Schizosaccharomyces pombe: one gene and its partners. Changing the gene in region 1 together with any one later gene gives a genetic interaction. Each region holds a gene or a part of one and is shown on either strand. Other genes may lie near its edges.

Region 1 (7,433 bases):
CAAACATAAAGTCAACAGGATCTATATATTCCCATTCCGCCTTTCCAATAGCTGACTAGTTACATTAGTTTTTAACTCTGTTACAAATTCCATTCTGACGTACCTTTTGGTAATAAGTGTCTTGTAAAAGTTCCCATTCTTTCGTAAATTAGTATAACTATGCAACTGAACGGCATACCATAGATGGGATACTTTATTGAAGGCTCCATTTCTATTTTATTTAGAAAATGCTAAAAAGGTGAAGCAACTTCTATAAATGTAGTTCAATGTATATTACACGTGAGTATTGTGACGAACAGTGGTATCCCCGATCACACTTAAAGCAACTGGTAAGAGTCATCTCACTATGTCAAGCACCTAAACAATTCGCTTTCCCGTTTACCTGGGATTTCTTTAATTTAATCTTTTTTTTTAATTACAGTGGATTGAAGGAATAAGAAAACAGATATATCTAGGAGTCATTTACATGCATACGTATGCGTTATACAATGTCAACATGGTATATGTCAAAAGATAGAATAGTATTAACATTATTTTGCTTATCGCAAAGTTTGATTTCTTGATATTCATATATCAATGAATTCTAGCGAATCCTTTAATAAAAAGGGTATTAGTAAAAATTCTAACATTGCATGAAGAAAATTAAGATCGGGAAATATGAAAAATCAATTAAAGATTTATGAGGATTTTATATTTTAAAAATTTTTAGTTCATTTGTTGAAATGACAGGTTCCTCAGGTTTACGTATAGGTAGTTGTTGAAGACATAAATAAGATTATATAATAATTAAAACCTGGGAGAAGATTACGGTATGCTTTAGCAGTATAATCATGATGTTAAGGCATATTTTTCGGGAAGCCAAAAAACGAGTTGGGACCCTGCAGTCAAAAGTTGATCATACCTAGGATTATACTTAACAAGACCTGGATTAATTATAGACTGAGAAACAATACGATGTTCAGGAGGTCTTGTTTTTCCTTTATGGTGAAAGGTATGTCTTAAATTCCATACATTCAGGGTACGGTCGTCAGCAGATCCTATGACAAAATTACCTTGAGGTACAAAAGTGGTTGAGCCGCCGTGAAAATTGTTGGAGAACGGCAATTCTTGGAAGTCCTCTAATCTAGATAAAACATCCCCGCTGAATGCATCAAGTATATAGTGAACATTAGCTCTAGTTGAGAGAAGTATACATTTTCCATCGTTGGAAAACTCCATATGTTTCCACTCAGGCATCATGGGGGGAAACGAAAACCTTGATAAGTAACGAGAGTCATCTATTGTGAATGTTGAAAACGGATCAGAACCATAATTCCGCACGTCGTAAAGAAAGATACGTGACAGTGAATGACATGCAACCGCAAAAACAAGACCTGTGGGATCATAAGCGGGAATTCCAAGGGATGGGAGATCTAAATTTCCAAGGCATCTCGAGGATTGATTCATTTTCCAAAGCTTCAAGGTTTTGTCGTTTGCCGTACTAACGAATTGGTCTTCAATAGGAGAAACCTCAATGGATGAAACGATGTCCGTGTGCCCACTGAAGTACGATATTCTTTTGTTGTCATAAATTGAAACATATTGAATATCCTTATTCCCCTTTGTGGTAGACAAAAGTAGATTATGATCGTGGTGTGTAAAACGAGCAACTTCTATGCCGGTTTCGAAACAAGTTATTGTATGGACTTGCTTCGGATCTAAAGCATCATATATTTGGACTGTGTCATCGGCAGAACATGTCGTTGCAACATACTCTCCAGAATCACTGTAATCAATGCTATTAATGAAGCTTCCTAATGAGTTATCACGAAACGACTGTGCAGGCTTTAAACTCGAAAGTATGCCGATATCCATTGAGAATTAAATAAAATATATAAATTCTCTTTGAATTTCCTTTTATATCCCCTTAAGGGCCTTTCTACTTTGCTAAGCCCTTGCTTGCATTTGTTTACTTGTGATTCCACAAAATTAGAGTAGTGCCAGACAACGTGTTTAACGAACTGTAGCACGTTTTAGTATACAGTTTTAAATTACAATTCGAAAACTTTTAAAAAGAATAGTGAAGTTGAAAATTAACAGGCTATTAATTTCTCCACCAAAAATACACTTGATTAATAAAAGAGTCTGAAGGCTTGATATTGTGGAAATGGAGGCGTGATGTTATCAAAACTTTCATATTATCAAATATAATTTAAGAGTAAATTTTTATTAAGGAAAACTTATAAACAAAGCTACCAAGGAAGCTGGATCATTCCATGAAATACAGCAGAACCAGTTTCAATTATTTTGTCGCTTGCTTGTAATCCTCAAAGCTCTGTATTTTTGTTATTTTCTGAATAAATTTTTCTTAGATATCGCGAATTTGCTTTTGCAAACCGTTAACAGATTAATTAAAATTACTAAGGAACGGCGTGATTCACGAACTTCTAAAATTCAGCAAAAATTATTTAAATAACTACTTTCGATCCTCAGTCGTTGTTATTCGAATTAGAAGGGAATGAATATTTGCATAATTCATTTCTTATCCTGAACTTTATACTGTTTAAGTCTTTCGCATTCTGTCTAGCGTGATGTGGATTTTAAAGTCAGGGTTCAATCGGTGTAGAAATTTTTCATTCATGAACAGAGGCCTTTTAGGCCTTAGAAACTTGTCTGTCACACACAACAATCTTGTTTCCTATTTAGAACATTTGAGTGTTCAGAAGCCTTCAACGTCGAATACTGTTGCCCAAGGAACCTTGTTTGAATACTTGGTACAGTATGTGCTAAAGCAACACAGTTTTCAGCTTGAAAGATGTGGTGGAAAGGGCGATGGTGGGGTGGATTTGGTGGGCCAATTTTCGATTAAAAATGTGTTGTTTGAGCCCACCAAAGTTGTCGTATCCTGCAAATCTAACAAGGGATCAATAGGGCCCAGATTTGTTAGAGAGCTTGAAGGCTCTTTGTCATCTTATCCAACAGATACTCTTGGGATTTTGGCTTGTTTGGGTTCTTTCACATCATCCTCACTGAAGACTTTGTCCATCAGCAACAGACCTCTTGCCTTATGCCGCATATATGTTGACGGATTTCATAGCTACATGTTTCAATTTGTTTGGAATCACCAAGCTTTGGCTATTTTTCCCGACCTGAGTGTGCGCCAGATTTACAAGCTTCCTTCGCCAACCGCTAATATTGTGCCTTTATCTCAGGAATTTTCCCAAGTGAATTATGTTTCCTTATTTGAACTATTACAGCCATTATCACGTACGGAAGAAAGGCCAGTACCTTTAGTGTTGGTCTACAAAAATCAAAAAATATCTCTTAACTGTTGATGACAGCTCATATATTAATTCATCTTTTTCTATTTCCATCATGCTAATGTGAGTTATTCAGTCTTTGATAAACCAATAAACTTTGTAAAGAGATATTATTCAAGGTAATAAATAGAAATAAAATTCAATGAACGAATGTCTACCAAATAAAAACGAAGTTCTATCTTGAAAATTAAAGTATGATAAGTGTTCAACAGTGTGAAAATAAAGGAAATAATGTAATATAAAAGAGAGAATAAAGAAAAAAGAGAAAAGAATTAAATAATATTGTTACAAGTTTCCATTAAGAAATAGATCGCAAAAATTTGTGCTTAATAAAATACTTCATTCTAGGAATGATCGGCCATTTCGAAATGTTTTGTACAAAAAAACCATTCTTGGCATACAAAAATAAAAGCCAAAAAAAGTATAACCCAACTACATTGTGAATGAGGTATGGTTTTTCAGCTCCATATATCAATGAATAGAAAGACAGAAGAAACAAAAAAACGTTATTTATGTAGTACTCCACGTCGTTCAAACGAGGTAGCATCTTTCCTGTTCGTAAAATTTCGGTGAGTAATATAAAAGGGATAATTGAGAAGAAATTATGATGTGTGGGGAAAGGAATAGACCAATGCATGGAAAGATTTCTAGCCCAAACAATGAGAACAGGAAAGTCCAAAGGAGCTAAGAGTAACATCAGTATTGTTATCGTGCAAGAGAAATTGTAGAAATCCCACAATTTTTTTCGGTAATGGCTTGACTTGGTGCAAAATCGGGCCAAGTGTAAAGCTTTAGCAGTAGTTACTGTCTGGGTACATAAAGCAACACCATAAACAAGTTGAAAGGGTACCACCGTCATTGCCATGAGCAACAATAACATGATGCCAATTATCCGAGCTTGCATATGCTTCTTTCCATATACGTAACAGAGAGAAGGGTTTGCATAATACATATTTCTCTGAGATAGAAAACTCGAAAGTTTTTTAAATTCTCCATGATCCAATTTTCTAGTATTTCTTGTTCTCAGACATTGAAAGGAGAACTTCACAGCTTGGCATACACCAGTAAAAGTCAAACCTTTATAACGCAAGTAGATACCATATATGAATGCTAATAAATGCATGACACAGAGTATAATAACACTGGCTGTTATAACTAAGCCAACAAACATTAAAGTTAACAGCGGGGCGAGGAACCAAAATTGAGCAGTCTGTAGTCCAAAAAGTAAATGATTTTGTTTCCAGAAAGATTTTGGAACCATCATTGCGAATATTTTCCAAGAGGCGACAGGGTCAGCACCATCGGCAACAATCAACTCTACTCTGCTAATTAAATATGAAAATGCAATTGACAAGATCGAAACTAAAAAAAGGAGTTTGATAAGTCCTTTGCGAATCATGACTTCAAGTGCAGCCGACATACTCAAGTATGCAGAACCGTAATGAAAATACCTAAACTGATTGTAAGCTGCCAAACTAATTACAACCACAGGAAAGGAAGCAAGTAATGTTCTGTAACGCATGAGCAGACGCCCAGCGCTCCTGTAATAACTTGGCTGTATTGAAACATAAACCGACTTATAGATAGCAGGATTCAAAAAGAATTCGAGAGTTAAAGATTTTTCTGATTCCTTACCAAAAAATTCCATAAATGGGGATATCCCGTGAACAGAAAGTTCTGTATTTGACATATTCACATGATATTTTGTTTCAAATGGAGATTCAATACTTTGCTTTAACATAGGGGTAAATTCTTTTTGAGGTACGGCACCAGGATAAAGTTCGTACGTTACTGAAATGGTGTAAGCCATAATTGAGCTCTGAATACCAGGGAACCTGAAGCGTTTCGAAATCGATCCTTTGGTGTCGAATTGAAATTTTCTTCCGCTTTTGAAGAGTTCAATTTGAGAACCTTTAATCGTTTTAGGATCCAACGAAACATTTGAAAATCCCCCAACAACAAACCCACTAGCGGGTGCTTTCGAATCATCAGACACTAAAATAAAATGATAATCATCCATTTTTTCCTTTGGCAATACGTAGTTATAAAAACTGTCACCACCATATGGACTGCTGGTGTATGCAGTTGAAGCAGGAAGCAAAGTAACCAATTCCCTAAGTAAATGGCAATTAGCGTTAATTACTTTATTGTTACCATTCTCTAATAAAGCAGATATAGTATTATCAATTTTTGGATCAAGGCGGCAAGCCAATACTTTAATATTGGATGACGAAAGATCAATAGGCTGATCAGTAAGCAATTCGAATCGGTCAATGCTTGAGGTAGGCTTCGGAATAGGAAAGATATGATGCCGAATATAAGAAACACCTAGTTGGTTCAAAAATAACAGTTGCCCTGGCATCTCGCTATAAACGTAAGTAAGATCAAGGTCCAAAGCTTTGTATTGAGCAATTGGTTTGGAAATTTGCGTAATGTCGTTTTGAAAAGAAGAACCCTGGATGTAGGCACGACTAAGCAACTCCTTCCTCAAATTAAGAGAAACGGTGCACTTTGATGTCCTTGCATCCATAATTGCAAAAATTCCCCGAATTAGTACCCGACGGAAATTCTCGCACCAAGCCATAGCTTGATGATCAATTTCTGCCCAAACGGAAGGGATACCAGAAGTAAAAACCATTAGACCGTTCGAGGGGGGCACAAAGGTAGAGATGGACGAATACTCCGGTACAACATGAGTATCTAAACCTCCCCCAGCTATGGAAACAAGCAAAACATCATCTAGTGAATTTTCTTCTGGACTCAACAGAAAGGACTGGGACCAAAAGTTTTTAATTGATTCATAAAATTCTACTAGATGCCTATCAAAAGGCAAAGGGGCCATTGCATGTGGCGTAGCTAAAGTAATTAGGGTATTAACAGAACCATCAACGTAGTTTTTCATCGTAAAAGTAGCTTGAGCAACAATCCCTCCCATAGAATGACCAAGTAATATAACGGACGTTGGGGGAGGAAAAGCTTCATTGTCATACTCCGAAGAGATTTTTCGATTTTGACGGTAAAGAGAGAGTATATATGGAATAGCATCATTGACATATTCAGCTTGGTCCAACAGCGTTTGGCCATGAAATGCTGAAAAATCCTCATTAAAATCCACCACAAAAAAATCAGGGACGAGTTTACCAGCATTTAGCGTACCATCAGCGTCTTCAGCGTAAGCATTAGCATAAACATGGGCAGCTTGAGCAGCAAAAGCTCTTACTTGTTTATAGCTACCCGCATTACCAGGAATGAAAAGGATAGGAATACCTGATGGTTCGTCACTTTCCTCTACGCTTTTTTCTCTATAAAGGTAGAGCGAATATTTATTTGCGAAACGAGTGTAACGTTCATCAAAATCAACAAAACGAACATAAGAAGGCCAAACATAGGACTTTCCGCAACCATTGTCCTGTGGACGACCTTGAAAAGAATGTAGAATAACTAATAATAAAAGAATGGCGATGATTGCAACATAAAGAGACCAGCTTCGTATAGCCTTAACTATAACATTCCCCTTTGAGATTTTAATTTCCTTTTCTATGGAAATAGAGCTAGGTGTTGAAGAACCAGAGCTAGTAACGCTAGGAATATCATTTTGCTCTAAATTAGGTTTCTCATCGTTTGAGGCTGTGTTGGCATTATTGCGTTTATAAAAGCCGCTTGAAAGCTTTGAATTGGAGATATAGTAGCCATTCACAGTATCTGACCTTCCCTTATCGTCTTTCATAGTTTTAAAAAACCGAGACGAAGAAGACGATATACGGGTTGAGCCTTGATACAAATCCAGGGCCGCTAATGAAAGTTAAAGACAAATAAAAGGGAAATAATAATTCAAAAGGCAAGTAAAACCTGTTAATATTTAAGACTCAGTTGTTTAGATGAAGTGCAAATTAGGTATCAACTGAAAAAGAAATTTCCAGTTTGCAAAAAATTAGACAGGTTACAACAACAGAAAAAAAAAACATATAATAAAAATCCTCGTAATTTAGGACATAAGTAGGAATTTCACAGTATTTCCCAAACACTGTTATATCTAAGTCCTTTAATCAATTTGTTGCCTCAAATGAAGAATCCAGCTCCAAAATCGAGGACTGTGTCAAAGAAATCAATTATTAGAAATGAAAAGTAGATCCT
Region 2 (9,454 bases), on another chromosome or scaffold:
ACCCAACTATTTGGATGTTTACAATAATAAAGCTGCTGTTTTGAAATACGAAAATAATGTAATGAATATAAGACAATTTAATTGTTCCCCTCATCCTTACTGGCTTCCTAACTTTATGGATGTTTTTACTTGGAGTCTTCCATTTGTGGGCGAAAAAGTTTCTGAAATGTTGATTTCAATGCTCAATATATGTTCTAAGGAGGAGCTTTATGAAACGGATTTGAAAGAATCGGCTCCGACTCAGCATAAACAGCCTGCTCCATCTGAGAATGAAAATAAAGCCGACCAAGAAATTGATATTGAAGCTCGTAGGCAAATTATTAAAAACAAGATTATGGCTATTGGCCGTATCTCTCGAGTATTCAGTGTGCTTAGAGAAGAACGGGAAAGTGTTTCGGAACTGAAAAACGTGTCAGGTACGCAAAGATTACCTGCGGGTACTTTAATGTTGGGAGCTGAGGGTATCAAAAATGCTATCAATTCCTTCGATGATGCTCGTAAGCTGGATATCCAAAATGAACGTTTACCGCCATCTAATAGCCGTCGACGTTCTACGGATTTAAAGGCTTTCGAAGAAGTAATGAATTCGTCTGAAGATGATACCTCTATCGATCATTTGGTAGAACGCTTTGCAGATAAGAAAAGCTCTTTGTAGATACCAAAACCTGCGCATATTCGTTTTTTAGTTGGAATTTTTCAATGAGCATAAACCTGATCCGAGGTTTTAAGCATACTTACAACAAATATCTAAACACTCAAAATAAAGAAAGCAAATGAGTTTACTTTAGCATAATACAAGATAACCGATGACTAGATACATAAGCATTGCATTTAGATATTCATAATAAACTTTTTGGTATTCATAACTATGAAACCTTTTATAAAACAAGCAAACAAAAGACGACTACTTTTTGCATAATGAAAGATTGTAAAAAGGGGTATTCGCATGGCACGCTCCACCGTAAAAAAGAATGATAATAAATATAGCAACAGATAATTTAAAATATCTAGCTGACTGTTCTCCGAACTTATACTGCAGTAAAGCTGGCAAATATAAGATCATATCCAGGAAAGTCATACACTATAAATTCTTCACGCTTATAAGAGCTAAAAGATTTAAGTTTGGCCGAGAAATGCTTCTCTTGAGACGCACCTTTAGCCTGGAAAAGGGTAAGACAAAATTTGTTTGCACCAAAAGTTTTAACAGTTTTTTCGATTGTTTCAGATATGGATCTTCCGAATTGGAATTGCGAAACATTTGTTTCAAATGAAGCATAAGAACAATGTTCTTGAGGCGTAACATGGATTGTGGCATAGCGGTCCTTGTAAATCATATTCGACGAGAACCCAATTGGCTCAAATTGAAAAGCATCAAGCACTGCTTTTTTATCAGAGGTACTACATAAGTCTCTAACACCCGATTCATCAGCTACATAACTGCCAAGGATGTGACCCCCCGAGAGATTGTTTTTTTCTCGAACATAGTCATCACCTCTAGCGCTCCGAACAACATCCAAGGATGGAGCGTAAAACTGAAGCGAGCGTTCGGGAGACATATCAGTCATGAGTACCTCTAGGGTCTCATCTTCAGGATCAAGGGAATCTTCCAGTAAAGAATAATCATCAGCCAGATCAGAAAACAGATGCCAGTGATTCTTGTTTGTCGGACCCACTACATAAGAGCATCCACTTGGAAAAAACAGTTGTAAGTAACGAACTTCTTCCTCCCAACTCGTATGTGGTGCAAGCTGGCGTTCGGGATATAAAAAGTTTTTTCTTGAGTAAAAAATACGAAGAGGACGATCAAAGCCAACACTAGAAGCAATTTCTAATAGGCGAGGCAAACTAGCCAGTAGTGTAGTGGTTCCGCATGTTTTAAGGATAATTTTATGGGCAAACACAAACATAGAGGATTCAGAAAGTAAATATGCATCTATTTCTTCACTATTAACAACGCTGAGGACTTTACATTGGGCTTGGGCTAGCATATCATCCCAATCATTGCGAGAAACAGCTTTTAGTCCCAAGTTAGCCTTTTCACCCGCACTTAAATTGGTTTTTATAGGAGCCGAAAACCATAGTTCCAGCAATTTTTCAGGACCTTCAAATGAGGAGGTGTTAAATTCTTCCGAATTCTCTTGATCAACAACAAGGGTAGGAGACATTTTAGAATATAGTCATACAAAGAACTTCCAATGCTATATGTGCGCTGTGAGTGTAATTCCCAAAACACGTACTAGCTAGTTGCTCCAGTTACACTTTTAGGATATTTATTAGCAAAAAAGCATACAAATAATAACTTAATTGCGGCTGTCGCACCAATTTTATATGATGTTGAGGCTAAATACATAACCACAGAAACATCCTGTATCGATCAAAATTTTAAAACCCTACCCTAAATATTTTTGAATATGCTACAAATGACATCGACGCTAATAATAAATTTGGAAATGATGAGTTTACGATATTTTATACATATGATACATACCGTAGTCTAAGTTTCATTAGCGGCACAAACAACTTTAAAGAACCAAAAGTCTTGTTTTTAATGATTGGTAGAAATATTCTTTAAATAAATTAAGACATCGGTGATAGTAAATAGTAGGACTATACATGCGCGTATAATTCAAGTGTTTACGTTCAAATTAGCGAGCTTGTACCACAGATGATCCGTCCATAAATCGTACATGAAATAGTCGATTAGCATTGGTAAACATTCCTTCTTTAAGGCTAACAATAATAAACTGAGAACCTTTAAACTTTGTTTTAATAAGTCTTCCAATGTTTTGGGTATGACTTAAATCGAGCGCCGCGTCAATTTCATCTAAAATGTACATTGGAGCAGGCTTATATTTAAGTAGAGACATAATAAGAGCCAATGCAACTAGAGACCTTTGTCCACCACTAAGTTCTGCCAGACTATCTTTCCAAATTGACCCAATTTTTACATGAATTTCCAATCCATCAGTGAATTCTTTATTCTCTGGTGGCTGTAGTTCTGCACTATTACCAGGAAGTAGTTCGTCAAAAATTTCACCGAAAGAAGAATTGACTTCTCTCCAGGTTTTTTCTAAGGCACTCCTTTTAAACCGATCAATACTTTTGACAGTATCTTGGATCTTTTTCTTATCGCGATGAATGGTCTTTATCATAGAGCGCAATTTGGCTTCTTTCTTTTCTACACCGTCAATCATGTCCATAACCTTGGGATTAATAGCTTTACGCATACTAGCAAATCGCGGTTTCAAATTATGTAACTGCTCTCTACACTGACGCATGTTTTGAGAGTGAAAATCGAAAATGGTTCCTTGCTTACCAAAGTGCTGTTTCTGTCCATCTATCCAATCATTTTCCTTTTCCAAATGATTAATAGCAGTTATAGCAACTGATTTTTCTCGCTCTAATCGGTCAAACTCGTGGTTCAGCTTTTGAATTGTTAGCTCCCCATTGTTTATTTCAGATTCGAATGTTTTCATTGAGGTACTGAGTGAATCTATCTCTTTGTTAAGTCCAGAAAACTTGGCGCTTTCAATTTCTATTAGTTCGGTGAGTTTCTTTCGATTATGCTCCTCATTAACAAGTGACAGCTCAAGTTCTGCAATTTCCGTCTTTATTAAACTCGTGGTCGATTCACCTTGTACGAGAGATTGCTGATGGTTTTGCAATTCGCCTTCTAATTGTTCACATTCGAGTTTAACGCCATTATAGTCATTCTCGGACTTTTCCAATATAGGAGTAAACTCGTCTAACTTGTGCTTGTATTGATTAAACTCCTTTTCCAATTCAGCCATTTTTGATCCCTTGTTATGTTTCCATTCTTGCATGTCTCGTTCAATTTTTTTTATAGCTTGGTCACTTTGCAATATAAGTCTGTCTAATTCAGGAAGCCTTTGCTTGAGATCTTTAACGTCGTCTTTGTACTGCTGATAATCAGATAAAAGACGAAAAGATGAGTCGGTCTCTCTTTGCTCTATCAAAAGTGTTAATTCATGTTGCTTTAGTTGAATTTCTTGCTCAAGTCGATGAAAATTGGCATTTTGAGTCTTTAAGTCTTTAAGTTGAGTCTCCAACTTTTCATATTCTGAAGTAACTACTTGCAATTTTAGCTGCAGACTGTTCAGCTTTTGTATCTGTAGTAAAGGACCGGCAGATTTATTCACAGACCCACCAGTAAGGGTACCAGATGGGTCATAAACATCACCATCAAGCGTGACACTTTTTAATTTAACTGAAGGATGAAAGGTAACTTTCTTTGCCGATTCAGGGGTATCACAGACTAATGTGGAGCCAAAAACATACTGCATTGCAGGCAAAAGCTCATCGTCATAACCGATTAATTCCAAAGCAAGTTGGGCTTTATTATTAGAAATTTTTTTGGCTGCGCCTACTCTCTCTGCTGAAGCTACGAAGCTGGTAATTTTGTTGAGGGGAATAATAGTAACTCTCCTCTTCAGGTTTCCTTTTTGAAGCAATTGTGCACCAATTTTCTCGGTTTCAACAATGAGATTATAAAGGCGGCCACCAGCTGTAATTTCTAATGCAGTTTGCTTGTCATAATTCTCTTCATTCAAGGTTAGCAATTGAGCCACCAATCCTTTCACCTTTGAGCGATCAAAATTAGGAGTAGGGTCGGTATAAGTAAATTCCATATAAGCAAGTTTGCTTTTTAAAGCATCAAGTTCATTTAACAAATTGCCGCGATCTTTAGCAAGTTGCTTCAACTTTTGCTGGAGTACATCTTCACCTGTAATGTCGGAATTTGTATTTTTTAAAGACATTTTAAGCTTCTCAACATGGTTTTGTAATATATCGATTTCGCGATTGAGTTGATCACATCGTTTTGTAGCCTCAGCCTTCTTAGGTTTAGTTAAAGATATTTGTTTATTGAGTCCTTCAAGCTTTAATCGATTGGTTTCTTTTTCAGCTTTAAAGTCATTCAACGTATCTCGAGCTTCGTGTAGTTTTCTAGAATAGCCAGTTTCATGACCTTCTGTAGTGGAAAGACCAGTTGTAAGTGATGAAATTAGCTCTTCTTGAGACTTGAAATCCTTTGAAATACTTTGATGTTCATCTTTCCTTTTTTCGTATACACTAAGCACTTCATCTAGTCGTTTCCTTTTTCCGCGCAACAAAGTTTCTAATTCCTTAGCTTTTCCACGAATTTGTTGAAGGTCCCCATGCTCTTCCTCTAAAGCTGTATTCTTTAATTCTATCGACGTGCTTATTCTGGTGATGTTTTCATTAACAGTTTGTAACTGAGAGTCCAAGGTACGATCCGAAGAAACACTCATTTGTCTCATTCGCTCATCTTCAATTTTTTTAATCTTTTCCTTTAGTATTAAAACCTCCTGTTTCGATGTTTGTAATGAAGATTCCATCTCGGCGATATGGCTGTGCTTCTGGGATGCTTGAACCGTTAATTCCTCCACTTTAAGTGACAACTTATAATAGTCGTAAGCAGTACAAAGATGGCTTAATCGTTCCAAGTCATTATAAATATGTTGATATTCTAGAAAAGTTTTTTTTTCTGTACGAAGTTTGGTAAGTCGGGGTTCGATTTCCTCTCTTAACAGTGTATTAATCTCCTCAACCTTTGCTTCTTTTCGTTGCATTGTTCGAAAAGCCTTTTCTTTCCTTTCTTCAAACATTCGAGTACCAGAGGCTTCTTCAATCATTGATAAAATTTCAGTAGCCTTCATATTAAGAACCTTGGTGATTCGACCTTGCATAATTAAAAAATTAGGATTATTAATATTTAACTGAACAGACTGGAACAAATTTTGAACATTCTGTTGCAGAGCTCTATGTCCATTAATCAAATATTTGCTTGTACCGCCCATGATAATTTGTCTTGTAACGCTTACTTGCGGGTGATTCTCGAAACCAATTGGTGAAGACGCAGGATCCCGATTATTAAACACAATGGTAACGCTAGCTCTGGTTATTCCTGCCTGTCCGCGTTTGTAAATTAAGTCCTGTAAATTCTGGGCACGGACAGTCGACATATTCGTAATTCCCAAGACAAAGCATATTGCATCTAATATATTACTTTTTCCAGACCCATTGAGGCCCGTTATAGCATTAAATTGGTCATCCCAATTGCTAATGACAGTTCGCACAGCATATGATTTGAAACCATCAATGATGAGTTCCTCTATTTTCATTTCTTCAGTAAATTTCTCGTTCTGTTTGTTTACTGAAGCCCAAGTATTTAAGACTAGAATTCAAAAAACTGATTGACTTGTAAAGTATTTCCTAGAGGGAGATAAATCTTCAGCAGTACATTTCAGTCCGAACTGTTTGCTGTTTAGTGTAAAAATGATTAAAGCTGTTTGTCGTTTAAAGCATTAAAGGTGAAATAAGACTTCATAGTAGATATAAAAGAGTGCGACTACTCTAATAACATTTACCGCAACGTTAAACTACGTAATGATGCTTAGTATGCAAAAAGCTTACCGCTATTAACATTTTAGATTTATTAGTTTATGTATTTTAATACTTTCAAGTAACTTGTTTAAATTCTTTTTAATTTAAAACATATATTTTATCTTTTCTGTTATTTAACTATATTTGATAATCAGTACTGCACTCACTACACAAATGGGGCAAGGTGAATCCATTCCCAGTCGGCAAATTCAAAGGGACGCAAGTATGCAGGCGGTTTCATCAGAAAGTGAAAACATTAATGATTCAGATCGACAAAATTCTGGCTTTAGTAGGCTGTGGAATCGTTTTCCCTCTTTGCAGCGAGTCTTAGGTCTTCGAAGAGCAAAGCGGCATCGTAACGATGAAGGCAATTCGGAAAATGGTAATCGTGATAGAACTACTGAAAGATCGGCTTTTCGTTCTCGCTACCGTGGTTCGCTTTTGAATAGGAATTCTCCTTCTCTAAGGTCGTTAAGTCCACCAGCTACACCAGCTACTCCTCGCTCTCGTATAGAAGGCGAATCACAAACATCTGCAATACCTCAAACAGACAGGTTAATCCTTGAAAATCACCAACAGGAATTTGAACGTGCTGCTAGAAGATTTCGTTCTAGTATTGCTGCTTTACGCAATTTAAATACCCAAAACAATCAGTCTACGTTGGCATCGAATCATGAAGATGAAAACGTCAGTTCGAGCGGTGGACAGGAAATGCAGGATCATGGCTCTGTAAATAATTTAGAATCTCCGGGAACTGCAATTGGAAGATTGCCGGTAAGATCTGTCACTTCTCTAGCGGACTCAAATATGGAGGACTATACTCGTGCGGTAATGAACTATATTAATAATAGTGAAAATACTCAACAAGCATCTGTTTCTCCAGAAGAAAGTCAACTAGTCATGCTTTCTCGATTTGTGTTTTCAGTAGCGTCTGGTTGGGTTAGTGTACTGATGAATTCTTCGAGTGCACATCAATCAAACAATTTAGAATTTCCTTCTTCAATTTCTGGAAATGTGGAATCTGGAAATGTTGCTTTCGATGAATTTTTATCGCTTTTGCACGCTGGTAATCTGGTGCAGGCGATGAACGCAGAAACTAATCCTAGGACTGCAGAACTAATTGCAAATGCTGTGGATCTTGAAGAAGAATCTGGTCCTATAAACCTTTTTCGAACTTTTAGATTTGACAATTTACACCGAAATCATGAAGGTCAAGAAGTAATCCCGATTATAATAGTTGGCATCCGAAGTCTAAGAAATTCAGGAAGTGATGAAGATGATCAACCAAGTGCCGATTCCCCAACTTTAATGCATCCTTCTGATTTGATATCTTCACTTGTTAACTCGCAAAATCAGACAACGTCCGTTAGTGATAATACGGGGCCAAATGAAAATGTTAATGAGGCAGAACATATTTCCGAAGACGAGCAAGCTTCTACTGCTACAGACGTAAATGGGATTTCCGATAATAATGGATCCTCCACTCAACAAGCACCTGAAACTAGAAATAATAATTCGCAAACGGACCACCAATTGCCCAGAAGCTGGGCCATATACGTTCGAGAAGCTTTTGTACCTCAAAATCATCCTGTTTTGAGAGCACCTTCACTGTTTACTGATTCACCAACGTACGAGGACATGCTTTTATTGAATTCTATTATCGGTATTGAAAAGCCGCCAGTGGCTTCACAAAAAGACCTTGAAAAGGCAGGTGGTGTATTCCCTTTTTCGGGAACCGATGAAAGATGCCTTGTTTGTCTATCAAATTTTGAGTTGAACGATGAGTGTCGCCGTCTTAAACAATGCAATCATTTTTTTCATCGTGAATGCATAGATCAGTGGTTAACTTCAAGCCAAAATTCATGCCCCCTGTGTCGTACTAAAGGTGTTGCTTCAGCATCTACTCCGTCCTCTCCCAAGCCATAATCAACATGATCAATCATCATGACAATTTTGTTGCTTTAAAAACTTTTCGGATTCCTTCCACCAAAACGATTTTGAATGTATTTACCCATATATTTTATTAATGTTCCTTGTTTCCTTTTAGCTATGAGAATTTAAAAGGGCATGTCACAACCCTTCCTCTCGACCTGACGATCCTTAAAGCATAGCTTATAAAGCCAAAACGGGCTTGTTTCCTTTTCTGTTTTCCATTATTTTTGTTTGTTTATATGATGAATTTTCTATGGTAAGGTAGACTCCATTGATGGACTGATCATCTTGCTATTTTCAACACCCAGTCTCGGAAAATGGTTTCTACAATGAGGCCTATTTAATATTCCTTGGATTATTTATATCCTATATTGATCAGTTTTTCACTTTGTATAATTTTATATCTGATTTTATGCCTAACTTTGCTTCAAGTGAAAAATGTTGCCTAACTTTTTACGTTTTCAATGCGTTTGTTTATTTCTTAATAAAGCTAAGTAACAATGGTCTACTTGATATACGGCTTGTCAATTTATTCAATAACAAAAAACTGTTGTTGACTTCGCATCATCTACTATTAAAGCAATAAGTATGAAGTTTGTATGTAAAATCATGTTAACTGTTTAAAATCCATTTAAATTCGAAGCACAGCTTGGGAAGTATATTTTCTAATACCCAATAGGGGAGAACGGAATGTAACGCAACTTATCATAGTTTGCTAGGAAGATATATATCAGGTGGGTGACTCAATAAAATAACTCCATCGACCTCCTCTCTCATTTTGTTGAAAATTAGTTACAATGATTTCTTTCGTAAGTTTATATCGTTAAAAAGGATGATTTTAACATGATTAGTTTCCCAATAAGCCCATGTATCATGTTCAACCTCACATTTCTTTCATCACCCCTGAAAGAACTATGAAAACGTAGGATTGCTGAATCTAACTTCAATATATGATTATTAACATTAAATTTTAGTATTCCTGCCTTTTCCCGTTGGGCCTTTGCAGCCGTAGCCGGCGGTAAGTTGACTAAAAAAATGTGTGCGTATGCATACTAATAAGCTATGAAGTGTTTGTTTTTGCTATGCAGGTTCCTAA
Region 3 (8,020 bases), on another chromosome or scaffold:
CCTTTTTATAATATAAGGCTAACATGTATGATTCTTATCAAACATAACAGCTGTAGGAATTCAGTATTCTTCTAACACTTATGCATCACTATTTTCTCTCACCCCAAACCCCTCGTATATTGGAAAGTTGTTCAAGTGAGCATTATTGATTTTTTCCCAATATAATATTGATAAAAATATATATCTGTAAAAAAGTTTGGTGTTAATTATTTATTTTATTCTGTTTTCTGCTGATTCAAAGACTTCGAACATGTCGACTGCCAGTGAACAAGCTCGACTTAGACGTGAACGTCGACTGAATAAAATCAAACAAGGAGGTGCATCTAGAATCAATCAAATTTTGGGACAGAATTCAGATGACAGTCAATCCGATGTTCGAGCTACAGCTTCCGAGGAAGCTGTACATTCTGAAACTGCAACACCAGTAACGCCAATGTCTTCAGGATTCATGGAAAAGAGAGATGATACCTTCAATGCTGATCAAGTGGAATATCTTCCTTCCCAAGATTACCATAATTTGGAAAGTTCGCCTTTTAAACTTCAGTGTGATTCTCCATATAATGTACCACCTGAAAACATGTTTAATCAAAACCCTGATTTTGCAAATTTTTTTCAAGCTATGTTACAATCCGCAAAGGAGGGATCTGATACAAATTTTCAAGGTGAAAACGAACAAATTCCTCAAGCTACAGCTCCTTTAAAAAACTTAGTTGAGAAATATGCTCATCTTTTGGCAATTTCTATAGTAGTGATTGTTTGTTATTTTAAACATTTGGTAAGTCCTCATCTTCCTTTTTTGAAATTGTTTTTTTGCATACTAATATATTTATTTCAGCCATTACTTCCGTGGACATTTACTGTCGAAGCTTGCTTGTTCTCTATTCAATTTGTTTTGGACCGTAATAATGGACCTTCTTATTCTCTTCTAGCATCTCTGGCCTCTCAGCTTCCCCCTCCCTATGGAGCAATGATCCGTCATACAACAAGTTATGTTCCGTATTTCACACAATTGATTACAGATGCGTGTATGACAATATTTGCGTTAGGTTTATGTTGCTATTTTTATCCGTCGTTGGTGTATTAATAGTTGTTAATTTTCAGCATTTACTATTTATGAATCTTGGTTTTGCTTCGCAAATTGGTGATCGATTAATTAGCATTCAATTTTTGTTTAGATGAAATAAACTAACTGATTAAGCGAGAAAGACTTTTCAAACCCTTAGGAATTCAATTTTATATTATCTTTTCAACATCTAAACGATTTATATTCTAAAACATACTGCACTTCATTTGAACTGCTTTGCAACACATGCCATATTTACGATTGTCGGTACGTTTTATTTATTTTCTCTTTTAATTCAATGGTAGCAATAGTATATGATTTAAAAAGCTCTGTTTATTGTAATTGTAGTATTAATTAAAAACAGACTACTTAAAGTAATTTCTGGGATAGCTGTGAAAACATTATAACTATGATTTTTAAAATCTTTTATCAACTTATTATTGAAATAAAATAAGTAATTGAGAATTGGCTTGGTTGACTGTATATATGTAAAACAACTTCGTCCGAAGCGCTACAACAGCATGCAAACGTTGAAACGGCGAATTCTTGTTATAGAGAAATTTTTCATATAAAACCATACGTACATATTTTGCTATTTAAGTTCCAGATTGCTTAAAAGAAAATTGAAGTGGTAGCACCATTTTTATAAATATATGCAATGGAAATGAAAAGGCGCGTTCGCGCGGTGCGTCGAGACCAAATTCAAAAAAGATGGCGTCCATTAGAGGATAAGCAGCGCCAAGAAATAATAATTATTTTTAGGACGTGTTCAAGGTAAGTAATTGAGAATCATGTTATTGCTAAAAGTGCTTGTGCTTTTTAGCGCTTACTTGTGTACTGAAAGGGAAATCAAAGTTTGCTGTTGATGTTTACCTGGAAAAGTCTTTTAAGTACTTTTCCAAATTTTTTTAGTCATTATGTGTACGTATGCTAACTGTGCTATCGTAACAGATTGGTTTTGAATACAATAAAATCAGAAACAAGAAAATCTTTGGCCGAGGAATGGTTCATGAATATACTTTTAAAAATCGAAGCTCCTCTGAGAAATTTGCCTGTACCAAGGAAAAGAAAAGAGTCAATACTGTTCTCTCAATTACTTTCTTCGAATGTAAGTTATTAAGTCTTGATACGCATACATACGAAAGAGATATGACTAACATTTTTAGATGCAATTGGAACAGCAATTATACAGTGATTTGGACCATATTAACGTACTTCAACAGGAATTGAAGGTTGAAACTGCTCGTTTGGAGAATGAACAGAAATCTTACGAAGAAATGAAACAAAACATGGCCATAAATAATTCACGGCTTGCCGATTTAAAATCTAAAGTAAGTTTAAAACACGAACAGGCGAATGTTTTATTCAAGACTTCATCTTAACATATGACACAAAATGAGTTTTCCATTGTTTCAGTTATGTAAATAATCAAGCAATCACTAATATTTTCTTAGCTTCACCCTTATTTGAAGAAAGGCTTAAAGATATCCCATGATAATTTTTCAGACTCCAACGATTTCTCGTTCCAAAAGAAACTGAATACAGAAGATTCTAATACTTCTAAAACCTCTACATTGGATATGTATAAAGAAAAATTAAAGCCATTTACGAAAACTATGCAAATCCATGCAAATAAAACTGTTCAATTAAGTCAAACTATACAAAAAGCTACTCTTCTTTTACAACGACTAAACAATACAAAAAATATAGGCCTAAATAAGTCATCCAAACTTAAGATAAAGAATATCTAGACATAGAAAAGCTAGAGCTTAAGACTTGATGACTTCTACATGTTAACATATAGTCCCTGGCCCCGAACCATGACCAACCCAAAAACTGGATTAAATCGTCCTTTAATATAAGCACTCAGACTAATTGTCCCGTCTTCATTGAATTCTCACAAATAGTGTGACGACAAGCCAACTTAATGGAGTGCTTGGTAGATTCCAGCAGCTACGGACTTAATTCAATTAAAGGACTTTTTGCTAGAGTTTAGGGTAGGGTAAGCATAAAATTATAGTAGCATTATAGTATCGATTTTGAAAGTAATTTCTTTTGCTTTATTTAATCATTAAAAGATGCCGTAAAGGATTTTGTGCCTTGCGGAATTGTCAAGAATTGTAGTATTACTCGTAAACGGTCGTGATTGTTATTTAACAGTAGTAACTGCCAAAAAAGACTTAGTTTTTTATTTTTAATAAAAGCCTTCAATATTATTTAATAAATAGACGCAAAATCATAAGCAAACTGATTTTAAATTCATTTGCGCATGCAGTCAATAATTATAAAAGCAAAGCAATACACGGGTCTTAGATAGCTAGTCAAAACAATAGCAATGCGTAAAAAAGTATTGATTTTGATTAAAACGGAAAGTTCATATAGGAAGCTGAGTATGACTTTCTAAATGGAAAAGTTCTTGAACCACAGGATGAACAAACAACACATATAGCTCAGAGATGCAAGTGCCTGAGACAGCTAAGCAGAAATAAGTCCATGGAAAACTTTGAAAAACATAAAATAAGTGAATTGAAAGGAACAAATAAATAAGGTATTTTGACAATGGACAGAGAAATTTGTTTGAAGATTCTTCCTTTTTACACGAATACAATTGGTACCAAGCAGTTAAGATCCCTGCTTGAATTGCGGTCGTACTTTGGATAATTGCGACCAACAAGTAATGTGAATCTGTAATTTTGTATGCAATAAAGCAAGGTATCAAGACAGCAATGTTTGGAATCACTGTTAAAAACTGACAGAAAAGCAAGTACTCCTTATGACCCCATGAACGTTCAATTTCAACGCCATACACCGAGAGAATGAGAATACTTGAAAGTAGCGTAAAAACATTAGCATCAACAAAACTTGTGGTAATTATTGTCCATGGAAACAAGAACAAAGCATTTGGAACCAAATGAAAACATAAAAGAAAGAAAGTTACAATAGAACTCCTACCAAACACTTTGATGTAGATGCTGATTCCAAATGATATTGCAGAAAACAATACCTCTAGGATAAGAAGCCTTTTCGTAACCGAAAACTTGGAGAAATGATTCATTGATAAATTTTAGGTAAAAAAAAATAGTAAAGTTCTCGTTACCGTAAAAATCATCGACGTCAACAATTTTGGTCTCAAAGTAAACAATACCAGGATACCTCTAAGTAAATGGTGCAATCCGAAATAAAATTTCTAGCTGTTTGCATCTAAAAAATAGAAACTCTTACGAAAACTGAATTGGCCAAAGATCGCTTCACTGGAATATAAGCATAATAAGAAATTGCCTATATGGATTAATACAGTTAGTAAATTAGAAAATGAGAAGTTGAGATAAGACACTGCACCTGGTTTTTTAATGCCTTCTCAATAATCTCATTTACAGGGACATTCGGTAGCGGGTAAGATGATAGGTAGGTCATGGCTCGACCAGATTATAAACATCCAGAAAATTACATAACTTTGTAGCTTGCCGATTCTAATAGAAGATAGAAAAGAAGTTTAAACTCGCTGATATATTTGTTTGAGCACAACCTGGTTTATCAAGTAACTATGATCGGTTCGGTTGAGGAGATAAACGCATTCAAAGTTAGAGTAAATAGTAAAGGGAGAAATTAATTTTTATTATATTTGGCAGTTTTTTGAGGGAAACCCTGATGAGAAATTGCTGCATATCGCTCTGCTGGGTTAAAACAAAGTGTTGATTCTCTTAATCGAATAATGTCTTAAATTATTAGTCATAATTCAAATCATCTTTTCCTTTCTTAGAATATAGTGAATGCATTGTTTAGAGCGGTCTTATATCAGAAAGAAGCATTCGCTTGACCTTGAAACATTTGTAATAGAAAATCACATTTCCTTAGCATGATAAGCGGACCCTGAATGTTCAAATTATTCAAATAAAATAGCAGTATATTTTAGAAATAAAAAAACCAAATAAGGCTCCTACCACTCTTGTATGGAATGTTGAGTACAGAAATAGCATACGAATTCATGAAAGTCAGAAAATACAATCTGGCTGCCAACTCCTTAACACAAACTTCTAAAAGTGAATTTTGATTGAAATTAAAAGTCGAAGAGAACTATTAGCATTGCCGTTTTAAGTTGTTAAGAGACCGACTTCAAAGAGGGAAAACTTTACTGAAATTCCTCGGATACAAAAAGTGGGCACTCGATTATTTTTATTTTGATCAAGCGCTGTTTAAATAGTAACCTACGTGCAAATAATAGAGCAGGAAGATTTAATCCACAGTTTCAGCCATCGCACGTATCTAGTTAAATTTCGGTAACTAATACTTCCACAACTACTAAAAACCGTCTCAATGGGAATTCGTCGACAATCCTTCAAGTTAAATCCGTATTGACAGGAAAAGAAAGAAAATAGAAGACTGTTGAGGTTTTAAGTGAAACTCGTTGACAGACCTTAAGATTTGACTTTAATTTACGTGGGTAGCTTGAACCATTATAGATTTAGAAATTGTGGAGGAAATGGATACGAATCAAGTTAATTATATAATCTGGAGATATTTGAAAGAATGCGGTATGTTAAATAGTTGGTTTTTGTGAATCATAGTCGCTTCATCTCTCCTTTTTTTCGGTTTCGTTAACATTATCGTGTTTTTTGTTGTAGGTTATTCGCATACTAAATTTGCATTTGAAAGGGAAACAGGCATCCAAAATTTAGACAAACAATGGGGAAGTACTTGCCAGGTTGGCGCTTTAGTCGAAATTCTGCAGAAGGGTTTACAGTACGTGGAGCTCGAAAAGCACTACGTTGATAATCACTCCTCAAACGAAGAAGCTAGCAAAACATCTATAGATGGAGAAAGTCTTGTAAATGAAAATCCTTGTAAACTCCCTTTCTATCTCACCGTACCTCATATATGCGAAACGACACTGACGAAAGCTGACTCTACCAATGGGTTTTGCGAACACAATAATTCTAATGATCACCAACTTAAAATTTTACAAGATAAGGGGTCTGGGTCGCCTTCATCTCCGGTCATGCCATTTAAGGATAAAATTGAGAAAAGGGATATTGACATTACTATGGCCGATGAATCAAACGTAGAGAAGGATCCGGCTCGACCTATAGCCGTGTACAACAGTTCACCTGTCACGGAAATAACAGAAATAAAACAGGTTACTTTTACTGGCGGCGAAGACATAAAGTCGGATTTTTTCAAAGTAATTCCTACCAAACACCCCGTTACCTGTGCAGATTGGCGTCCACTATTACAAGAAAATTACCATGTTTACGAATTTTCTATTGGTATGACAAACGCTACTCTGGCTTCAGTTAGCATTTGTGAAGAGCAAAATGATTTCAAGGCAAAAACAGATTATTGTCTGCAATCTTCTTTCGATAACCAAGATATCACTGGCGTTGCTTGGAATGTAAGGTTCAAATTTTTTTTTGAAATACTAACTTTTAGAATTCTGGTTCTTTTTTAGCCTACGCATTCTTCAGCGGTGTGATTGAAATTTACGATAGTCATGGTTCTCAAATCCTTAGCTTTCATAACAACAAAGGCCCTGTTTTATCTTTGAAATGGAGCGGTACTGATACATATCTAGCTGCTGGTTCGGCGGATGGAACTATTACACTCTTTGATCAACTGAAGCAAACACAATATTCAATTGACACACTTGCATCTTCCGTTTTAGACATTGAATGGATTAGCTTTGATGAATTTGTAACTTCGGATGTGGAAGGCTCCTTGCGAGTATACAAGGTCGATGGCAAAGCTCCGGTTTCTACAGTTTCTCATGCGCATGATAATTCTATTGTTGCTTTACGATACAATCTACGTATCTCTCTTCTATTAACTGCTTCTAGTGATACCACTGTTAAGGTAAATTTCTTTTGTCATTCTAATAATTACTGTTTTCTAACGTTTTGTATAGCTTTGGTCTAGAGGTGATGCTGGTGCTTTTGAATGTTTACATGTTTTTTCTTTTAGCTCACCGGTTAATTGTATTGACTGGAATTTGCGGGAAGGGACACCAATTCTAGCGGTTGCTTCAAACAGTATCGTTTCTATGTATAATGCTATTTCCCTTCAGCAACTTGCTGTATTCATGAGGCATACAGCTCCTGTTAGTGCTTTGAGCTTCAGTCATAACGGTCGCTATCTTGCTACTGGTGATACTTCTGGGGGAGTATGTATATGGTCATGCAAAACAGCCAAACTATTTAAGGAACTGGGTTCCGATAACTCAGAGTTAATTGCTGTTACTAATGTACTTCCAGAGGAGCAAGTTAATTTCTTACGGTGGAGTTTTGATGATAAAGATTTACTTATCGGTAAACAAAAGAAGGAGATTATTTGTTGTTGTGATTTTTTACATGATTCTCTGTAATTGAACCTAGTTGATCTTGTATATATCCATTTATTACAGTAGGTTCGTTGGGTCATCATCTATAGTCAAATATATACATATATATAATCATATACGAATTTTTATTTGAAGTTACTAAACTGGTAGCTAATATTTGTCAAAACATAATATGAACAGGAAACAATATGGACCGCGAAATTGTCAAGGTCCAATATCTATTTATCACAAATACCTTAATTATAGCGACGCTTTCGATTGCCATCTTGAAAGTTAGTAACAGGTATAATAGATAGCGTGAACGCAAATTAGTGGCTTCGTCTAACATAAATCAAAAGGAACATTACTATAGGTAAAGATAAACCGTACGTAGATCATTAAAATTCAGCAACGACTACTTTGGATCTCATAAAATTGAACTTCCAGAAAGAGACGTGACTTGGGAAAATACTGTCGGTTGTTGCGAAGTGTCTATTTGGAGTGAATCATTTTCATGGCGTACAATATCAATCATCTTCTTTATTATTGATTTTTCCAGGTCGGTGCGGTTTTGAAGGACTGCTTCAACCAAGGACAAAGGTGCATCCCAGTATGCTTCTTTCAGCAAATGAAAGTATTCGGAGACA
Region 4 (7,364 bases), on another chromosome or scaffold:
CGAAGAAAAAGTTCATCGGGGATTTGTCCAACAGCAGATGAGAAAAACGAAGATAATGGTTTTACTCTTCGTAACCGAAAGTTGCGAACTGGCCATTACAATTGGACGTCTTATGTACCCCTTCTAGATTCTTATATGCAAGACATGGAACACAAAAAAAATACGCATAGTGGTGGTGAAACCCAGGTATGGGAAGTTTGGATGTACTCTCAATCTGAAAAGAAGCACCGCTGCAAATCTTTAAAGATGTATAATTCTTTAATTATTGCAGACCCTGGACCTTCTCTTGCAGTCTCTGATAGATGCGTAGCCATTGTTCTAGGTAATTACGTTGCACTAGTCGGCTATGGAAGTGAAATCTTTCGTGATTTTTACCAAATCAGAAATTCCGATGAGATGGACAGAATTTTACGTCGCAAAAGAAAAAATTTACAGAGAAAAAGATCGGGGACCATCGGATGTTAAAATTAGTACTTCTTGTTTATTAGCCCTATGTTGATGTGCATATATATATGTATATATAGCTGCGATACCGTTTGCTAGCATGTCATGGTTGTCGGGATTGTTATAAGACCACTTTAGGGCTTATCATTCGTTCTTGAATAAGAAATATGTGCTTCCATTGTGTTTTAACTATTTAATATCTACCCAATTATTTTGTTAGCATTTGCAAGCCGGCCTTGCTAATGTCACGAGACACTTAACGTTTGTGGGAAGTTGCTGATTCTGTTAGTATTTTTAATAATTTATGAAATGTTTTTTTTTTCGTTCATAACTATTCTAACATGTGGATTAAAATTAAAGATGTTGTTTATAATTATTTTTTTTTTTATATTGTAAATTAGGAAGACAACAACACTAATTTTAATGTTCAGAAGTTTATGGTTTGTATCCATGAGGTTCATGCAACTAAACTAGGATGGATTTACTAAAAAATTTGTATTTGTTTTGTTTATAGTAGATTTTTCTTAATAAACTAATCCCAATGTTAAAGACAATTAGCCAAAATTCGTTTTGAATTTCTGGAACGCGTACCCACTTCTTAAAAGTTATCTTCCGCCTATTTTACCTCAACCTGTTTAATAACCACCTTAACGACTATTGTATGCTGCATACATACAGTTTATAATTAATTGTAACTAAAAATACCATGTCGTTTATAAGCAGATCAACAACGACCTTTCGGAGGAGCATATCTATGAAAGACTATGCGAGGGTTCGGTGGTACAGTAACAGCGGCAAATCGTTGATCGAAAATATTCTTTCATCCAAAATTGCAATCTCAAAAGTTTATACCCTTAAAAAAAGAATTGGACTTCCTGAAAGTTATCCAATGAAAGTTCTTGTTCAAGCACTGATCGATAAGACTGTTGTTCAAAACCCCCAATATTCTAACGAAAAACTCTGGTCAATAGGGAAAGTGTTTGGTGATTTCTATGTTCTTGAATACATTAAGTGCAAATACCCCAGGCTGCCGGAGGAAGCAGTTCATGGCATGCAAAATGGGTGGATGGGCTCAAAGGCTTTGAGTCAGTTAGCAACTATCTGGGGTCTTGAAGTACAGAGAAGAGAAGAAGGTTTACAAGAGTCATTTGGAAAAGTTTTAGCGAAGCGTGCTGACCCTGAAATGCTGAGGAAGCCTGGTGAAATTTACAAAGATGAGGCAGCGCGAAGAGCCATTTTAGCAATTTTGGGCGGAGTTTACCTACATCAAGTAAGAAATTTTTATCAGTGTTTACTAATGTTTTTACAGGGATTTAATGATACTAAAAAATTTATTAATGACCACATCTTATCTAAACAATTAGACCCAAGAACAATGTTACAATTGCAATGGCCTCGGCGTCAACTATCTCGTTTATGTAAAAGGCTTTCATTAAAGGAACCAGTCTATCGCATTATAGCCGAGACGGGAAGAAAAAGCAGAGAACCTGTTTTTGTCATTGGAGCCTACAGTGGGCATCACCTCTTGGGACAAGGTCAAGCCAGCAGTCTAAATTTGGCTGAGCAACAGGTATGTAATTGCGAATAATGACTTCCAAATTATTGAAAGTTCACTTATAAGTTTTCTTCATGCTTATGAGATTTGGCTTGCAGTAAATATTGCCGCGATGTTGTATCGTAACACTCCACGATACACAAGGGTCATGTTCTTAAGTGCTGTAATTTACTTCTTTTTATTATTAAGGAACTGTACTACAACTTTGGTCTTCAGCATCAATTTATTTGGAAATATATTATTATTTGAAACACCATCAATATGAACCCTAATACTAACTTTATAGGCGGCATATAACTCTCTTATTTCGTATTATATTCACTCACCGCCGTTTCGCCAACTTCCAAGTGATTACTTAGAAGTCAACGATGGAAAAATCCCAAAAGCCTCTGAACCATACACCTCTATACCATTAGTATCTCACGGCCAACTTGTAATATAATTTATAGTAGGTTAGGGTTTGGGCAAATAAAACAGTCACACTACTTTACACAGCAATAGGCACAACAAATCAATAAGATATCTTTACCAACACCAAAATGTCTGCCTCCGAACTTGCTACAAGTTACTCTGCTCTCATCTTGGCCGACGAGGGTATTGAGATCACCGTAAGTTAACACATTTATGGAGGTGCACGCGTTGTACACATAGAGTCATCAAAAATGATTACTGAAATCCTACCACATTAAATAATGACGCGTCATCATGTAGATTTTGCCTAAAGGGGATTATTAACAGTATTTCTAGTCAGATAAACTCTTGTCTTTGACTAAGGCTGCCAACGTCGATGTTGAGCCTATCTGGGCAACCATCTTTGCTAAGGCTTTGGAGGGCAAGGACTTGAAGGAACTCCTTTTGAACATTGGCTCTGCTGCTGCCGCTCCTGCTGCTGGTGGCGCCGGTGCTCCTGCCGCTGCTGCTGGTGGTGAAGCCGCTGCTGAAGAACAGAAGGAAGAGGCTAAAGAAGAAGAGGAGTCTGATGAAGATGTAAGTATAAAATAGCGGTAGTAATTACTACAACTAGTGTTAAGTTATTTTTACTCATTATTTATTCCTTACTATATTGTTATTTTATTACGCAATTAGGTACTAACTTTTTTATAGATGGGATTCGGATTGTTTGATTAAAATTTTTGTCAATGAGAATCTATGTATCTTTTTAATTGTTCATCAAATAGCTGGCATTTGATTGGCATCTCTAAAGTGTAGAAAGGATTTTTGAGTACATAGTCGGAGTAAAGTTCATAAAACTTTTGTAATTGTAATCTGGCGTTTGTGGTTTTCTTTTCTGTAAATAACACAAATTTCATCCCTGTATGTGTTTGCAAAATATGCATGTTGAATGTTCCTGCTTCCAATAGTTGAATTCCGCTTGATCCTGGTAGCGGACTGATCTGAGTGGAAATGGCATGTACACTATCTCAGTGGTTAATAACATATCATTGAATTTCACAAGTCTGTTTTCTTCAACATAAACTCAAGCGGCACTAGTAATAAAAAATTCATGAAGCACAAGGATATCAAAAACAAGTAATAAATTTAAATTTGATAACTTCGATGTAATAAAGGGTAGAATTTCATCAATTTGATTAGGCTTCTACGTTATTTCCATTGTACTTACCCATGAATTGTCCCTGCCAAAACCAAATATTCGTTAGGTGTTAAAGCCGTTGGTGATGAGCCAAACTCTCTTTGAAAAATCAATGAACCGGCTCTATTGATGATGATTAATGCATGCATAGGTATATGAGTATTAATGATATTTAAATAGATAAATATGAGTTGAAAATTAGCAGCCTTTCGCTGTGCGTAGGAACAAGCTTTGATTTAAGTAGTAGTAGTAGTAGTAGCAGTACGTTGGTTGAATGGGCAAAACCGAAAGACGCGACTACCAGCATGTCGATGACAGCCGGGAATGTCGTATTTGGTAATAATTCTTTAAATATTCGGTTTTGCTAATCTAATTTAGTTGGTAACATTCCATATGATGTTTCGGAACAGCAAATGACTGAAATCTTTAATCAAGTTGGACCAGTAAAGACTTTCAAACTTGTACTTGATCCGGAAACAGGTAGTGGGAAGGGTTATGGGTTTTGTGAGTTTTTTGATAGTGAGACTACCGCTATGGCTGTACGAAAGTTAAATAATTCCGAATTAGGACCTCGTAAGATTCGTGTCGAGTTTCCATCAAATGATCCCAGAAGGAATCAAAGTTATGAATATACGGAGCGTACTGATAGATACATGGAACAGCAAAATGCTCATGAAAGTTCTTATAATTCCCGTTTTATTCCTCCTGTTTTGCATTCAACATCTTCCCTGCCTGCTTCACAAGGAGGTGGGATGCCAAGTCCTGCTATTTATTCGTCGTCAATGGCTACTAATCTTAATAAAAATATAAATTCTACTTCTGTTCCTGCTTATAATTTTCACAACAGTATGACCTCCGACTTTGATTCTGCCAGTCAACCCCATACAGATGCATACAATGCAAGAACCTTTCAGTATAATAAATCTTCACAAAACAAAGGGGATTACACTTCCGGGACTTCTATATCGAATCCGACTTCTATCCCATTGGCCCCGTCTGTCGTTCAGGTACTATCTACCTTCTCAGCTCAGGAACTTCTCAATATGTTGTCCAAACTTCAGACTGTAGTTCATATAGCACCAGAAGAGGCACGACGACTTCTAATTGCTAATCCTGCTTTACCATACGCCGCCTTTCAAGCTATGTTGCTGATGAACTTAGTTGACGCAAATGTCTTACAACAAGTAGTAGTCGCAGTGAAGAATAAAAACATGCATCAACCAGCTTCAGCAACTTCCTCTCCTCCTTCTGTTCCCCAAAAAATACCTTCTAGTAACCATAAAAGTCAACAAGCGAATGGTTCAGATCAGGGCAATGAAGGGAAGCGGGTACGTTTTTTTTTTTTTTTTTGCACTAACAAAACAGATGGCCCTCATACAACAATTGTTGGCTCTTACCCCAGAGCAAATTAACGCATTACCTCCTGCACAAAGGGATCAAATTCTTAGCATTCGTCGGCAGCATTTTCGACAGTAAGTCTAATTTTAGTAATATCAAGAGATTAAATATTAGCATTTGACCAAGTACTTAAATTTGGTGTGCAAGATAATTTATTTACAACACTATAAACCATATCCTAGCACTGATACCTTTTCATACTACACACTTCTTTATACTATTCGGATGTTTTGCTTCTCATAAATATTTGTTTCTATACGCGTTATGGAGGGCTATTTCTTGGATCCTTTATTCAATATCCTTTTATAAAAATTTACTCAATCAATATTTCATATTAAAATTTATTATTTTTTATATTTTAAACTGCCCTTTTGATCGTAAATATATTATAAAAATGTAGGTGGTAACATCAACTGATACTTCTCAAATAAATATGCAACTCATAAATTCCCAAAAAGTTCAATTTCTTAAAAAAAATTTAGATCACAGGTTTAAAATTGTAGTTCAATTTTTCCAACTACGAAGTGTCAGCACTGGCTCATGCAAGCTTCCAAGTACAGACTACATAATTACAGTTTAGGAAATTGAAAACCATCGAAAATGAATAATCCTATGGAAGAACAGCAAAGCGCATTATTAGGAAGGATCATAAGTAATGTAGAAAAGCTGAATGAAAGTATTACAAGACTCAATCATTCATTACAGGTAAGATTACGACGTCAAATATTTGTGTACATATCAACTTTCCGCTGACATTCTTAAAGCTAATTAATATGTCTAATATGAATGTTGAGCTAGCTAGTCAAATGTGGGCGAATTATGCAAGAAACGTAAAATTCCACTTGGAAGAGACCCATACGCTTAAAGATCCCATCTAAAGTTATATGATGTTCTTTAATATTTGTGCTAACGAAATTTGCTATAAAGCACAAGCAAAATTAATATAACAAGGATTGCAATTATTGCTGTCGTGAAAAATCTGTTCATGGCAAGTCTTTAAAATGAGTTAGTATAAAAGATCATTACATGACGATTCATATCACTATAATAATGTCTATCTGTGTCCTACCTTCTTGCCATTGTCTTCAGAGTTCTTAAACTTCGATCAAGGTGTCCAGACGTATCTCCAAGCTAATTTGGTTAACAAATCTCAAAGAAATTTATACATAGCATAAAAGAAAACTATATTTTTAAACCATGGAGCTAATAAGCTTGGCTAAGATATGCGTATAAATCGCGCATTTTATCTTATCAATCATAGTGATTCATTTATCTATTTTGCAATAATTACTTACCATCTCTAAAGAATGCTCCAATTGATTTCTTTGACCATGAAGATCACGAAGAATGCTAGCACCAATGCCTTCAGTCTCATTCGCAATCCGTTGTGATTCAAGAAGACGCTGTGAAGATTGCTCAAGTCTATTTGTTCCTTGTAACAAACGAGTTCTTTGGTCATAATCTTGATCACTTGCAATATAATCACCGGATGTTTCATCCCTATTTCCAAAAAGGGCTTTCCTATCTGATTTGCCAATTTCTTCCTTCTAAACGAGAAAATTGTTAGTATGAATTTGGTAAATAAAAGTAGATTGTCTCATAGTAATTTCTGTAAAGCTTCAAAAGAAGAATGTTCGATATAGCTAACTTACCAGGTGTCTACGCCACTCCTCCAAAGTTGAACGATAACTACGAATTCTTCCATTTACGAGACCTCTTTCAGAAGTAGGGATACCGGTAATTTCAATTTCCATTTGACCAATCTGCAAGTTAGCCACTTTTTTAAAAACACAAATTATTCCAACATACTACTTCATCAATTTCATTTAAAAGTCTCTGACATGATTGAATAACAGAGTTCTCACCACTTTTACTTAAATCATTAAGTTTTTCTTCGATATCTGCTCGAAGCAAGCTAATTATTAGTAAACTTGTAATGGTATTAGACATACCGATATTCTTGCTCGTACGTCTCCATATTTAACAATTATTAATATTGATATATTAGATTTCTTGAAACTATCGTGTAAACAGTTTCTCAAATGAATTAAAAATAAAATAGGTGTAGGTTAAGATTAAATGGTTACGTTGGGAATCGAATACCCATAACAGGTAGTCATATTAATTAAGGCGTGTGTAGAGAGGAATCTACTAAAGCGAAAGAAAAATACAATGTTAAAAGGAATGAATATTAATTAGATAGTGTACAGTTATTATTCCTATGATTCATCAAACCATTTAGTCAATTCTTCTGATAATTCGTCAAATTCGTTTTTCCAGTATAGTAAGCTAGAACCAGATTCTTCATAAACATCACGTACAATGTAACCGTCCATCTCAGCTTGATAAAGTCTTTCTAACGTTACACCAATGGAC

What was found.
Region 2: of swd22 (region 1) and cut14, a mutation in one rescues a mutant of the other (synthetic rescue), as found in Schizosaccharomyces pombe (one study listed by BioGRID).
Region 3: mutations in swd22 (region 1) and hif2 together harm fitness more than expected from each alone (negative genetic interaction), as found in Schizosaccharomyces pombe (2 studies listed by BioGRID).
Region 4: mutations in swd22 (region 1) and ctf1 are lethal when combined (synthetic lethality), as found in Schizosaccharomyces pombe (one study listed by BioGRID).

What each region holds. Positions count from the first base shown.
Region 1 is NC_003424.3:1,684,783-1,692,215, reverse strand, and holds swd22 (Set1C-histone-H3K4 methyltransferase complex subunit Swd2), read right to left. Parts: upstream 1,951-7,433; 5' UTR 1,855-1,950; coding exon 829-1,854; 3' UTR 501-828; downstream 1-500. Other genes in the region: HOPS complex subunit Vps16, read right to left, coding at 1-55, 104-138, 179-209; SPOM_SPAC824.03C (uncharacterized protein), read left to right, coding at 2,571-3,314; bst1 (GPI inositol deacylase), read right to left, coding at 3,598-7,026.
Region 2 is NC_003423.3:2,875,205-2,884,658, forward strand, and holds cut14 (condensin complex SMC subunit Smc2), read right to left. Parts: upstream 6,165-9,454; coding exon 2,646-6,164; 3' UTR 2,483-2,645; downstream 1-2,482. Other genes in the region: calcium-dependent serine/threonine protein phosphatase calcineurin catalytic subunit Ppb1, read left to right, coding at 1-655; S-adenosylmethionine decarboxylase proenzyme Spe2, read right to left, coding at 1,029-2,165; SPOM_SPBP4H10.07 (ubiquitin-protein ligase E3), read left to right, coding at 6,601-8,352; ubiquinol-cytochrome-c reductase complex subunit Qcr10, read left to right, coding at 9,156-9,167, 9,210-9,280, 9,333-9,376, 9,427-9,454. UniProt on the Schizosaccharomyces pombe protein: Central component of the condensin complex, a complex required for conversion of interphase chromatin into mitotic-like condense chromosomes.
Region 3 is NC_003421.2:189,009-197,028, forward strand, and holds hif2 (Set3 complex subunit Hif2), read left to right. Parts: upstream 1-5,355; 5' UTR 5,356-5,543; coding exon 5,544-5,595; intron 5,596-5,685; coding exon 5,686-6,452; intron 6,453-6,490; coding exon 6,491-6,910; intron 6,911-6,962; coding exon 6,963-7,418; 3' UTR 7,419-7,520; downstream 7,521-8,020. Other genes in the region: GET complex subunit Get2, read left to right, coding at 251-775, 836-1,084; kinetochore protein fta7, read left to right, coding at 1,722-1,837, 2,015-2,171, 2,230-2,394, 2,518-2,814; protein pdh1, read right to left, coding at 3,438-4,118; sec6 (exocyst complex subunit Exo3), read right to left, coding at 7,801-8,020.
Region 4 is NC_003423.3:4,004,559-4,011,922, reverse strand, and holds ctf1 (cleavage and polyadenylation specificity factor complex subunit Ctf1), read left to right. Parts: upstream 1-3,883; 5' UTR 3,884-3,895; coding exon 3,896-3,926; intron 3,927-3,968; coding exon 3,969-4,918; intron 4,919-4,955; coding exon 4,956-5,066; 3' UTR 5,067-5,316; downstream 5,317-7,364. Other genes in the region: Sre1 cleavage-activating protein Scap Scp1, read left to right, coding at 1-465; mrpl3 (mitochondrial 54S ribosomal protein mL44), read left to right, coding at 1,151-1,714, 1,754-2,014, 2,286-2,441; rpp102 (ribosomal protein P1), read left to right, coding at 2,539-2,607, 2,747-2,986, 3,104-3,127; TRAPP complex subunit Trs23, read right to left, coding at 3,136-3,415, 3,621-3,739; DASH complex subunit Dad4, read left to right, coding at 5,589-5,693, 5,753-5,866; SNARE protein Vti1, read right to left, coding at 5,895-5,982, 6,058-6,119, 6,284-6,535, 6,641-6,751, 6,798-6,903, 6,941-6,966; ESCRT II complex subunit Vps36, read right to left, coding at 7,208-7,364. UniProt on the Schizosaccharomyces pombe protein: Component of the cleavage factor I (CF I) involved in pre-mRNA 3'-end processing.